2 linked regions of the Canis lupus familiaris genome follow. The protein of the gene in region 2 purifies or fractionates together with the protein of the main gene of each other region. This does not show direct contact. Links are inferred from orthologs where the notes say so. Each region holds a gene or a part of one and is shown on either strand. Other genes may lie near its edges.

Region 1 (5,034 bases), on a different chromosome or scaffold from region 2:
ATCAAGCGGCTGCCCTGTTTAGATTTTGGAACCTTGGATCTGTGGTTCTCAACCAGGGGTGATTTCACCCCTCACGGAGTATTTGGCAAGGTCTGGAGACAGTTTCGGTTGTCACAGTTCAGGGGGTGCTGCTGGCATCTGATGGGTAGAGAGGCCAGAGATGCTGTTGAACATCTGACCATGCACAGGACAGGCCCCCGCCCAGAAAATTACCTGGCCCGAGACGTTAACAGTGCCAAGGCTGAGAAGCCTGGCTGGCTTTATATCGAAGTGAGGAAGAGAGACAGAAGGAGGAGGAAGGTTTACAATCTCGTTTTGAGGTCATGAGGTATTTATTCATCGGTTAAGTGTTTTCCAGCTTTCTCCCTACGACCAATGCCCTTTTCGGTTTCCCTTGGAATGACAAGGGCTCTGTCTGGGTAGCTTGTGCATAAGAGCTTCTTCCTTTATCTTTAAAATGCCAAACCTGACACAGTACGAAGATCTCCACTATATATAGATCTGCAGCCAATATATGACATAAGCAGCTGTTAAACAAGTAGGACTAGAAGGTGAGCAGTGGGGGCGCGTGGAGGGACAAAGCAGATGCCTGTAACTCCGTTTCTGTGAGTCAGTGTTTCTGATGTAACAACACAGAATCATCACCATAGGACCAGGGAGACAAGCTATGCTGACGGCAGGCACAACTGCTCTGAGGCACTGGCATTGAGAGAGATACAGGTTCGCAGCAGCAGAGTCAAAGGCAAAGGAAAGGGTTAAGCAATCAGTGCGTGCCATTCCTGTATCATTCCATATTAAGTCCCTGGGCAGTTATTTATTACAAATAGTTACCTGCGGTTTCCAGTGGGGGGAGGCGACCACACTCCAGTCAAGGGGTTTTGGAGAAACAGGTGCAATGAAGTCATGGTCAAACAATTTATTTACTGTAAACTTTAGACTTTGCTCAGGAACACAACTGAAGCTGCCCCTCAAATCCCTGCCTACAACAACACCCTGTTTGAGCAAATAAGAGGGGCCAGCAGAGTCCGTGTTCACAGCTGAAAGGTCCGAGATACTCAAGATCCTCCAGTGCAAGGGTGCAGGAAGAAAAGACTCCTTCACATACAGATGACCAGCAGCAATATATATTACCCCTAATACTTGATCAATGAGGTAGATCCACGGAAAAGTCATCAAAACATAGCAGCCCCAGGTCCTCTGGGACCAAAGCCCTTCAGACACAAACTTACACGTTCCATGCAAAAAAGGAACTGAACTGTACAACAAACAATCACTCGAATATGCTTTCTCTTTTTTTTACAGCTTAAAAAAATAAAAAAAAAAGGCAGAAGGCCGTCCCTCCTCCTGCACATCTCTATACAATTTTATTCTAAATTTATTACACTCAAGTTAAATAGTCTGTATAGTGTTTCGTTGCGGGGAGGGGGTTCATAAAAAGTAGAAAAGCTGCATTACAGCAGTGAGTCGTTTGTACTACAATTCCTCCCCTGCGAATCAACGCTATCGCTAGGCACAGTACCTTGACGGTCTTCCGTGCCTGGGGGGTCCTCACACAGCAGTTCGCTGTCTTTCTCCTGCCCCAGGTGACATCCACTGTGCTCCCCAGCATAGTCGCTTCTGCTGTTACTGTTGTTGGAGTAGCCATTCCCATAGGCCTTCAGGGAAGACCTGCGCAGGCACAGAAGCTCCTGGAAGGCAATCCTGAAGTCAGGGCTCCGGCAGTAGATAAGGGGATTGAAAGCAGAGTTGACGTAGCCCACCCAGTTTAGGAGGATGTAAACTTCCTTAGGGATGAGGTTATCCTGGATCACATGCACTATGTTGACGATGAAGAAGGGCAGCCAGCACAGGGTGAAAGTGCCCATGATGATGCCCAGAGTTTTGAGGGCCTTGTGTTCCTTCAAGCAGAACTTGGAGGACCTCCGATGTCCGTGCCCGCTCCGCCCATCCTGCTCCACTTGGCTGAGGTTTTGGGCATGGAAGCGGCCCTCCGATCTGTCGATCTTCTGGAGCTGCCTCTGGGCCACCTGGAAGACCCTGGAGTAGACGAAGACCATGACCACCAGGGGTAGGTAGAAGGACACGATGGAGGAGGCAATGGCATAGGCTTGGTTCGTGAAGAAGTCACAGCACGTCTCCTTGGCGTAGCAGTTGATGGCTTCCTGGTGGGTGGCCCGGTACCAGTGCATCTGGATGGGCAAGAAGGAGGTGAGGCCGGACACGATCCACACCATCAGAATGACCACCCGGGCCTTATTCTTGGTCAGCAGGCTCTGGTACTTGAAGGGCGAGGTGATGGCAAAGTAGCGGTCCACCGCGATCACGCACAGGGTCTCGATGCTGGCCGTGACGCACAATACGTCAATGGAAGTCCAAAACTCACACCAGAAGTTGCCGAAGGTCCACATTTTCATGAGGATGTGGCTGGCCCCAAAGGGCACCACCGCCAGGCCCATGACCAGGTCAGCACAGGCCAGGGAGGTGATGAAGTAGTTGGTGACCGTCTGCAGACGCTCGAACCTGGCGATGGCCGTGATGACCAGCACGTTCCCGAACACGATGGCCAGGACGATGAGCGACATGACGATGCCCATGCCCACCACCCACGCCTCGCTCCGCTCCTGCGAGTCTCCCTGGTCCGGCGCGTGGCTCCCGTTGGGCGCCAGCAAGAAGACGCTGCGGTTCGCGGGCTGGCCCATGGCGCGCGGGCCGGCAGGTGAGCGCACGGGCGCCTCAGCGGGCGGACCTCGGGGGCGGCGCCGCGGGCAGCGAGCGGGCGCCGGGAAGCCGCATCCAGCTCGCGGGGTGCTCTGCGCTCGCCCGCGCGGCCCCCACAGCCTGCGCCCCGAGAAGCCGCCCCGGAGTGCGCGCTGCCCGTTATGTGCACGACTTTAGGGAGCTGCCCTCCGCGTGACGTGCGCCAACTTTCCGCCAATGGCGCGCGGGCAGCCCCGAGGGCCCGAGCGCCCCGCCCCGCCCGCCCCGCCCGCCCCGCCCGGCCCGGCCCGGCCCGGCCCGGCCCGGCCCTCGGCTCTCCCGCCCGCTCGCGGGGCCGGCCCGGGCGGGGCCCCGCCGCTGCCCGGCCGCCCCCGAGGCCCGCGGCTGGGGCTGGCGAGCTCCCCCGCCGCGCCCGGGGCTTGGCGCTCCCTGGGGGCCGCTACCTGTGCGGCCCCCAGCACTCGGAAGAAGCAGCGACAGGCAGGGACAGGCACACGCGCACCCCGACAGACAGGCTCAGACTTCTGCGGAGACGCGCCCGTCCAGCGCACCCCCCAAGCACACTCGTGCGCGCGCACACAGAAGCCCACGCGCACAAAGTCACCCCTGCCCAGCGGAGGCCGGGCCAGAAAGCCAACACAGGAGCGCCCAGAGCACAGAACCAGGTAAACAGGACGCTGAGCGCTCACGTGGAGGCAGGCAGAGAGCCACAGACTCGGACGACCCCCTCCAGGTACCGCAAACCCCTCACTGGGGCGCACAGCACCCCCGCCCCTTCCCAGCACACACACGAGCGCGCGCGCGCGCACACACACACACACACACACACACACACACACGAGGCACATTGCCTTTCAAACATTTGGCAGGACCACAGGAGGTGACTTCAACAGCGGCCCGATTTCCTTAGCACACTCACTGTCAAGCACTTTGGGTGCCCTCCTTGGGAATTTGCAGGCATTGAGACACAGGATTGCACCCTCTGGATTTCACTGGGAGCTGGAGCTGGGGTATGCAGGCCCGGGTTTGGGGACCCGGAGAGAGGGTTGTGGGCTTCCATTCGTAATTCTTGGGCGTGTGCTAGCACTCCCTCGTCATCTGTGGGAATGAAAATGAGTTGAAAATAGAATAATTTTCCTTTCAACCTCATCTTCTTCAGCAATCCCGCTGCCACTAGAAAAAAAAAAAAAAAAAAAAAAAAAAAAAGCTTTCAATCTGCCCGGTAGTGTGTTGATTTGTCGGGTTGAGCCATATGAAATTGCCTCTCTTCTGTGGCGTCTGACTTTAAAAGTGGCTGTTTCATATGGCTCAGACCATTAGAATGTGTTAACATTCAGAAAGTTTTGAAACCACAGGACAGAAGATAATTTCTCCTTAAAAAAAAAAAAAAAAAAGTCATACCAAGCCTTCAGACTAGGGTCTTTGTCCATGAAATATTATCCTTTGCATCTGGCATATGACTTGACTGTTAAGAAGAAATTAATTTTCAGGATTTGATTTCACATGTATTAGTAGCTTCTTTGAAAGACTGAAAGTATTTCATGCAGTGTAACCAAACATACTTTGTAGATTACATAATAACATAACAATGGCTAACATTTAGGGAACACTCTGCTATGTGCTTTTCATGCATTATTCCATTTAATCCTTCCCACAGTCCCATGGTGGGGGGAGCACTATTTTTAGCTTTATTCACAAATGGGGCTCAAAGAGAAAAATAGCTTGCCTGGGGGCACGGGGCCAGGCAGTGCCAGAGGCAGGAGGTGAACCCAGGTCTTCTTGACTCTAAAACTCAGAATTGGAATACTCAGGTTCCAGATCCTCTGTCCTAGCACTTTCTAGCTCACCTTCCTTAGGCAAGTCAAAAAGAGAGAACCTAATTTCCTCCTTCTCTAAGTGGAGAATAAAGTCACTCCCACTGGGCAGAGTGAGAATGGAATATATAATAATACATGTGAAAATGCTTTTGCACATGTATGCACCACACAAATATGGGTTACAAATGAAATATATAAAGATCACTTAGTAGTTTAGAATGTGTTGTCAGTCTTCTCTAATAGAACAAATACTTAAGGACAAACGTGAACTTGGTTGTTTACTGTCCAAGTAAAGCTCAGAAACAAAATTTAACCTGCAATGCTCCCTTTAACTTCCTTGACCAGCCAGAGATTGTTTTTGCAAGACAAATGCCTTAAAAAGGAAATATTTCCCATAAAGGTGCAAATATTATGCACCCATAGCTTTCAAAATATACCCACCCCATATTTGCGTTTCCCAAAATTGGCTCTGGTGTGATGCATTTTAGGAAACGGCAGT
Region 2 (5,058 bases):
GCAATTCTAGTTTATTTAAAAAGCTGACTTATTTTTTCGTAAGTAAGTTATATTCCTACTGGGAAAAGTTTACTAAAAATTCTCAAGAATTCAGCCATTGTTAAGTAGCCTTTAAGAATTTAAAACAATATTTATTAATGAAGGCCTCATTGTGTACTACACGGTTAAATCCGTTTCTTGTCCAATGTCATTTGAATGCTTAATATCATTTGACCTTAAAGCTAAGAAACTGACATCTTCGCAAATTCACCATTTTGCCACTAGGTGGCGAAAAAACCCAAGTAGTATCTGCCACTAAGGCTAGTACAAAATCCCAAGCACTTAAACCACTAGAATTTCCACCAGGTGTCAACCAAGAGGAGAAAAAAAAAAAAAAAAAAGACTATTTTTCCCCACTCAAATACACAAATTCATAGCTTTAAACATAACCACCTAAACTCAATTAGAGATAAATGGCTTGCCATTAGCTCTCCAAATAGTTTGCATATTTATATATAATGCTGAGGCCAAGATCACTGCCTTGTCAAATAAGGCAATTGGCCTTGTCAACTTTCCCCCAAAAGCAAGAAAACAGCAAGACCATTAAATACAGTCAAAAACCTTCTACAGTTTATGAATATATAGTTCCAGATTCTTATTTTTTTCCCTTCTACATTTCTTAGAAAGTTCTGATTGCAAAAATCTAGAAAAGATTATGCTTACACTTTGAACCCCAGTGTGATTTTATGAAAACATTGCCATTTGTTACTAAAATGTTCACAATCGAGAGATACATGTACTTGTCTTGAGACTTAGTATGAGAATTACGATGTTGAACCGTCTAAGGCTATTGGGCCTGTAAAAATTAACATTAGAACTTTACAAAACTAAGCTCTATTCATATACCAAAGCATGCTTTTTAAAAACCAGGTTACAGCCTTCACTAATTTCTAACGAAGATCTATTATGTCGTGAAAGTGATGTCAGCTAAAACACTGTGTCATGTTGCCTCGTAGAAGGTGGTACTTTTTTAGGCCGAACTCTATTTTTAATCCCCTGGACAGAGTTGTAATCATGTCATACACTGCACATCTAGCCGGAGGTGGTGTCTTTAAAAAAAAAAAAAAAAAAAAAAGTCTCTTTTCTTCCTTCTAGGAAGTGGTCAGCCTCCCCCCCCCACCCCACCCCCGCGTCATCATGCAAACAACTTTGTTGCGTTTCGTTGCTAATTAAGAGATGGAAGACAAAAACAGTTGAAGAGAAAGCAAAACCTATTGATTGAAAAACAACAACGACAACCCATTGATGAAATTCTAGTTGCTTCTGCTTCTGGCTCCTTACGGTGTCCTCTCCTCTAAGGTTTCTGTGGCCTCGCCTGAGTTCATTTCCACAACTGCCTACAACGCACTGGTCTTTAAAAAAAAAAAAAAAAGTTCAAGCCAAGAATGCTCGTGTCTACGGACATTATTTCTTGTCTGGTTTTTATTACGTCTTCTTTTGAAATTCGTTAGGTCGTGCTCAGCTCAGCAGCCGGCCGCTTGCCCAACCGGTTTCCTTCCCCCCTGCCCCCACCCGCCTTCACGCATCACTTTTTCCTCCCTCCATCCGAGCAGTGGGCCGAACCCCGCAGTGCCGGGAACGCAGGCTTCGGGCTGTGCACGCGGCAGTTTGTCCTTCCCCGGCTTTGCACACAGCCTCCCGCCCGTCCCTGGCCGCCCCCCCACCCCGAGCCCCACTGTCTCAGGATCTATTAGGGTGAGCTCGGTAAGCGGCCCCGGAGCGCACGTCGAGGGTTTACGGTAGCCCGCCTGCCAATGGGAGCCCACGATGGAGAGAAGTCAGGCCCGGCCTCCCGACAGCCCCGGAGCCTCCCTCCCGCAGCCGCGCACCTACTGTACCCGCGAGCGAGCCGGGGACGCGCCGAGAGGGCGGACAGCAGCCGCGGCGTGCGCCTGCGCACTGGGGTTGTTTTTCACAAAGCTGCTCTTAAAGTGAGCTGGCAGGCTCCAGCCGCCCGTCTTTGTAAGGAGACCACTGAGACTAGCGGGATCGTGCAGCGGCGGCGGCTCTGCTGCCCTGACTTTTTAAGAAATCTCAATGAACTATTTGTAAAGAATCACTGATCTTGCCTGCAAGCTTTTTGCACGGCAAAGACATCGATCAGTGTTAGGTGAAGATCACATTTTATATGTGATCTTGACTTTTTTTTTTTGGTCTTACATTATATTTTTATAGATTTTTTTTTGTTGTTATAAACATGGTGCTGGGAAAGGTGAAGAGTTTGACAATAAGCTTTGACTGTCTTAATGACAGCAACGTCCCTGTGTATTCTAGTGGGGATACAGTCTCAGGAAGGGTGAATTTAGAAGTTACTGGGGAAATCAGAGTAAAATCTCTTAAAATTCATGCAAGAGGGCATGCGAAAGTACGCTGGACCGAATCGAGAAACGCCGGCTCCAATACTGCCTACACGCAGAATTACACTGAAGAAGTAGAATATTTCAACCATAAAGACATCTTAATTGGACACGAAAGAGGTAAGTTTTTATATTATGGAGGACTCATTAGACCGATTTTTTCTTTGGGAAAGTGCCTTTTCAGCTTTTTCTGAATTAATGTAATTCCACTCCGGGCGTAACACATAGCAGCTTGATGAAGATTAGCAAAGTTGGAAGATCTTGGTTCTCCTTGACATTCATCGTGTGTTAAGCCGTAATGCATGCAGGCATCTGCAAAGTGACTGCAAACTGCACTTAACTACCTCTAGACCCGGCTTGGTCGGTGCCATACGCACTTGCAGTACATTTCTACCTTGCTTGTAAATTCTACTTAAATCCCATCCAGTAATTTTACTAATCAGTTTCCAAATTAATTGCTAAACCCTGCAGTCCCAATATTCCATTTTTCCCCCTTATACTCTGCAACCTCAGGTCTAGAAACTAAGCTTCAGTGGAGAAATGGAATAACATTTTTAAGTGGGTTAATAGGTGGTTTTCGCTTTTAATATTGACACGCAAAATACTTTAAAGGACTCATCGTTGTTTTTTGATCAAGGATTTCTGTGGCTTATTTTGACATATGGTATCGACACCCCACGTGTTTTTTCCTTATTCTCTCCAAATCCTTTATAAATTTACATCAAGCATTCTCTATTTTAAAGGACAGTAACCTATCATTAGGATAGGTTTCAAATCAGTTTCAGGAACCATCTCGGGTCAGTAATTTTCTTTTCCGAGTAGGATGCCTAACTTTGGAACGTGCATTCAATGAAACCCGTGCCAGTCAAATGGAATTGAAAAGTATTCGGCACATTGGATTTGATTTTTGGTTGGAAAAGGGAGATAAAGGGTTGTCAAGGGGAGAAGGGGTCCTGAGATTTCCAATCTATTGTTTAAATGGTTACATTGTGGAAATATAGGAGACTCTAAGCTTGTTTTTCTAAGTTTCCACCCTTTGTTAGAAGCGGTTCAATCCTGTTTCGGACCAGTTCTGGGGGGTGGTGAGGAGGGGCGCTTGTTCTGCTCTCAGCAGATTGGTTACACGCGTCAGGTGGTGGCGATGACTTAATTCCTAGCCCAAGAAGAATATAATGTTAAAACTGGTTATGTAATTTCATGCTTCTCTTTTTTAATGCAGTATTTAGTTCAAATGGGGCCGATTTTTCAAAAAGTACAGCACACCTTTAACCTTTTTTCATCTTAAAAACCACGTCCCCGGAGGAAGTGCTAATTGAACTAAGACAAGTGTCGAAATGAAGGATGCTTTTGAGTTACGGCACGTAATGCATTATTATTATTATTATCACTATTATTAAATACGAAGATGAAATCAGTTCTTTATATAAAGTTGGGTTTTCACAGTTGCACCTTAGCTAACCTGCATCCTGAGATAATTTCCTAGCTCCTCTTTCCAAGCAGGAACACTGATAAGAACTGCAGATGCCGAATGACAGCCTCGGTATCTGTTGGAAAGCAGACGCAGGGGTTTGCGTTTGAACCTTTCTGGACGTTGCAGCTTTTTATAAAATACATAAGAAACAAAGGTTTTGGAGGAGTTGAGGCTTGCAGCCGAGCTAGAAGTAGAATCACGACTTACGGGGACAAACGCAATTTCATTAGTTGGCTCCGTGCTTCCGTGCTAAAGAAAGCCGGGTACCCCGTACCCCCCTCCCCCCCCCCCCACGAGATGCCCCCCCTCGACCCCCGTAAAGCGTGGACGGGCTCTCTTTAGCTGGAATAGTTTCAATGACTTAAAAGTGGGACCTCTCAAACTAGCCTGGTAACTGAGGCCCCGCCCCGGGCGCCCGGCGATAGGCGGAGCCGCGTTTGTTAGCCTGTTGCTAAGGCGATGCCGCGCGCTGATTGGATTGGGCGCGGGCGGGTGGGGAGAGTGGGCGTGGCTTGGAACCGGCGTGCGCCGGCAGAGTCTCTCCGGAGCGGCCGCCCCCGCCCCCCCCCCCCCGGGTCCCCGCCGGGTCGCCCCCCGCGCCGGCCTTCCTGGGGGGCTGGGGGGGCGGAAGCCTGCGGCCTCCAGGGTCGGACGAGCCCACGGGGAGAAGCTCGCGGCGGCCTCGCAGGTGCCGCTGGGCCGCTGGGCGTGCCCGGAGCCGGCCAGCCCATCCTGAGGGAACTTGCGCGGCAGGGTTAGCCGGACCCCATTTTCCTGGCTTTTTTTTTTTTTTTTTTTTTTTTGGCTGGAAGATGTCAGGTGGCTTCTGTGAAGGCCCGTTTCCTCTCAGCTGGAACAAAGCGTGTGTGCCACCCCGAGCAGCCCCCAGGCCGGCTACCTCGCTGGGACCTGAGGGGCCAGGACGGGAAGGAAAGCCGGGTGTGTGGCTGTGGGTGGGTGGGGGCCCTCGGCGAGCGTCCTCCGACCCCCCATTGTGCGGCCCTGCCCTCCCCCCCGCCCCGGTTTCCCTCACCGTCACTGGAAAGGTGTCAGGGTGGCCCGAGCCAGATCGAACCGGTCACCGGCTGGGGCGTGGAAAGCGGAAGCGCCGCGCTGCGGCCGCCCCGCCCCCCGGCCCCAGCAGGCTAGGCTGCGCGACCGCGAGCGCGAGCGCCGCGCGACGTATGCCGT

Evidence for each region.
Region 1: the proteins of ARRDC3 (region 2) and ADRB2 purify together in Homo sapiens (affinity purification with western blotting; 6 studies listed by BioGRID and IntAct, with this or other methods). This does not show direct contact. The link is inferred for Canis lupus familiaris from reciprocal best matches to the Homo sapiens genes ARRDC3 and ADRB2.

What each region holds. Positions count from the first base shown.
Region 1 is NC_049225.1:60,961,583-60,966,616, forward strand, and holds ADRB2 (beta-2 adrenergic receptor), read right to left. Parts: upstream 2,849-5,034; 5' UTR 2,700-2,848; coding exon 1,452-2,699; 3' UTR 903-1,451; downstream 1-902. UniProt on the Homo sapiens protein: Beta-adrenergic receptors mediate the catecholamine-induced activation of adenylate cyclase through the action of G proteins. The beta-2-adrenergic receptor binds epinephrine with an approximately 30-fold greater affinity than it does norepinephrine.
Region 2 is NC_049224.1:17,820,987-17,826,044, forward strand, and holds the start of ARRDC3 (arrestin domain-containing protein 3), read left to right. Parts: upstream 1-1,896; 5' UTR 1,897-2,236; coding exon 2,237-2,516; intron 2,517-4,664; exon of another isoform or gene 4,665-4,679; coding exon of another isoform or gene 4,680-4,806; intron 4,807-4,900; exon of another isoform or gene 4,901-5,045; intron 5,046-5,058. UniProt on the Homo sapiens protein: Adapter protein that plays a role in regulating cell-surface expression of adrenergic receptors and probably also other G protein-coupled receptors.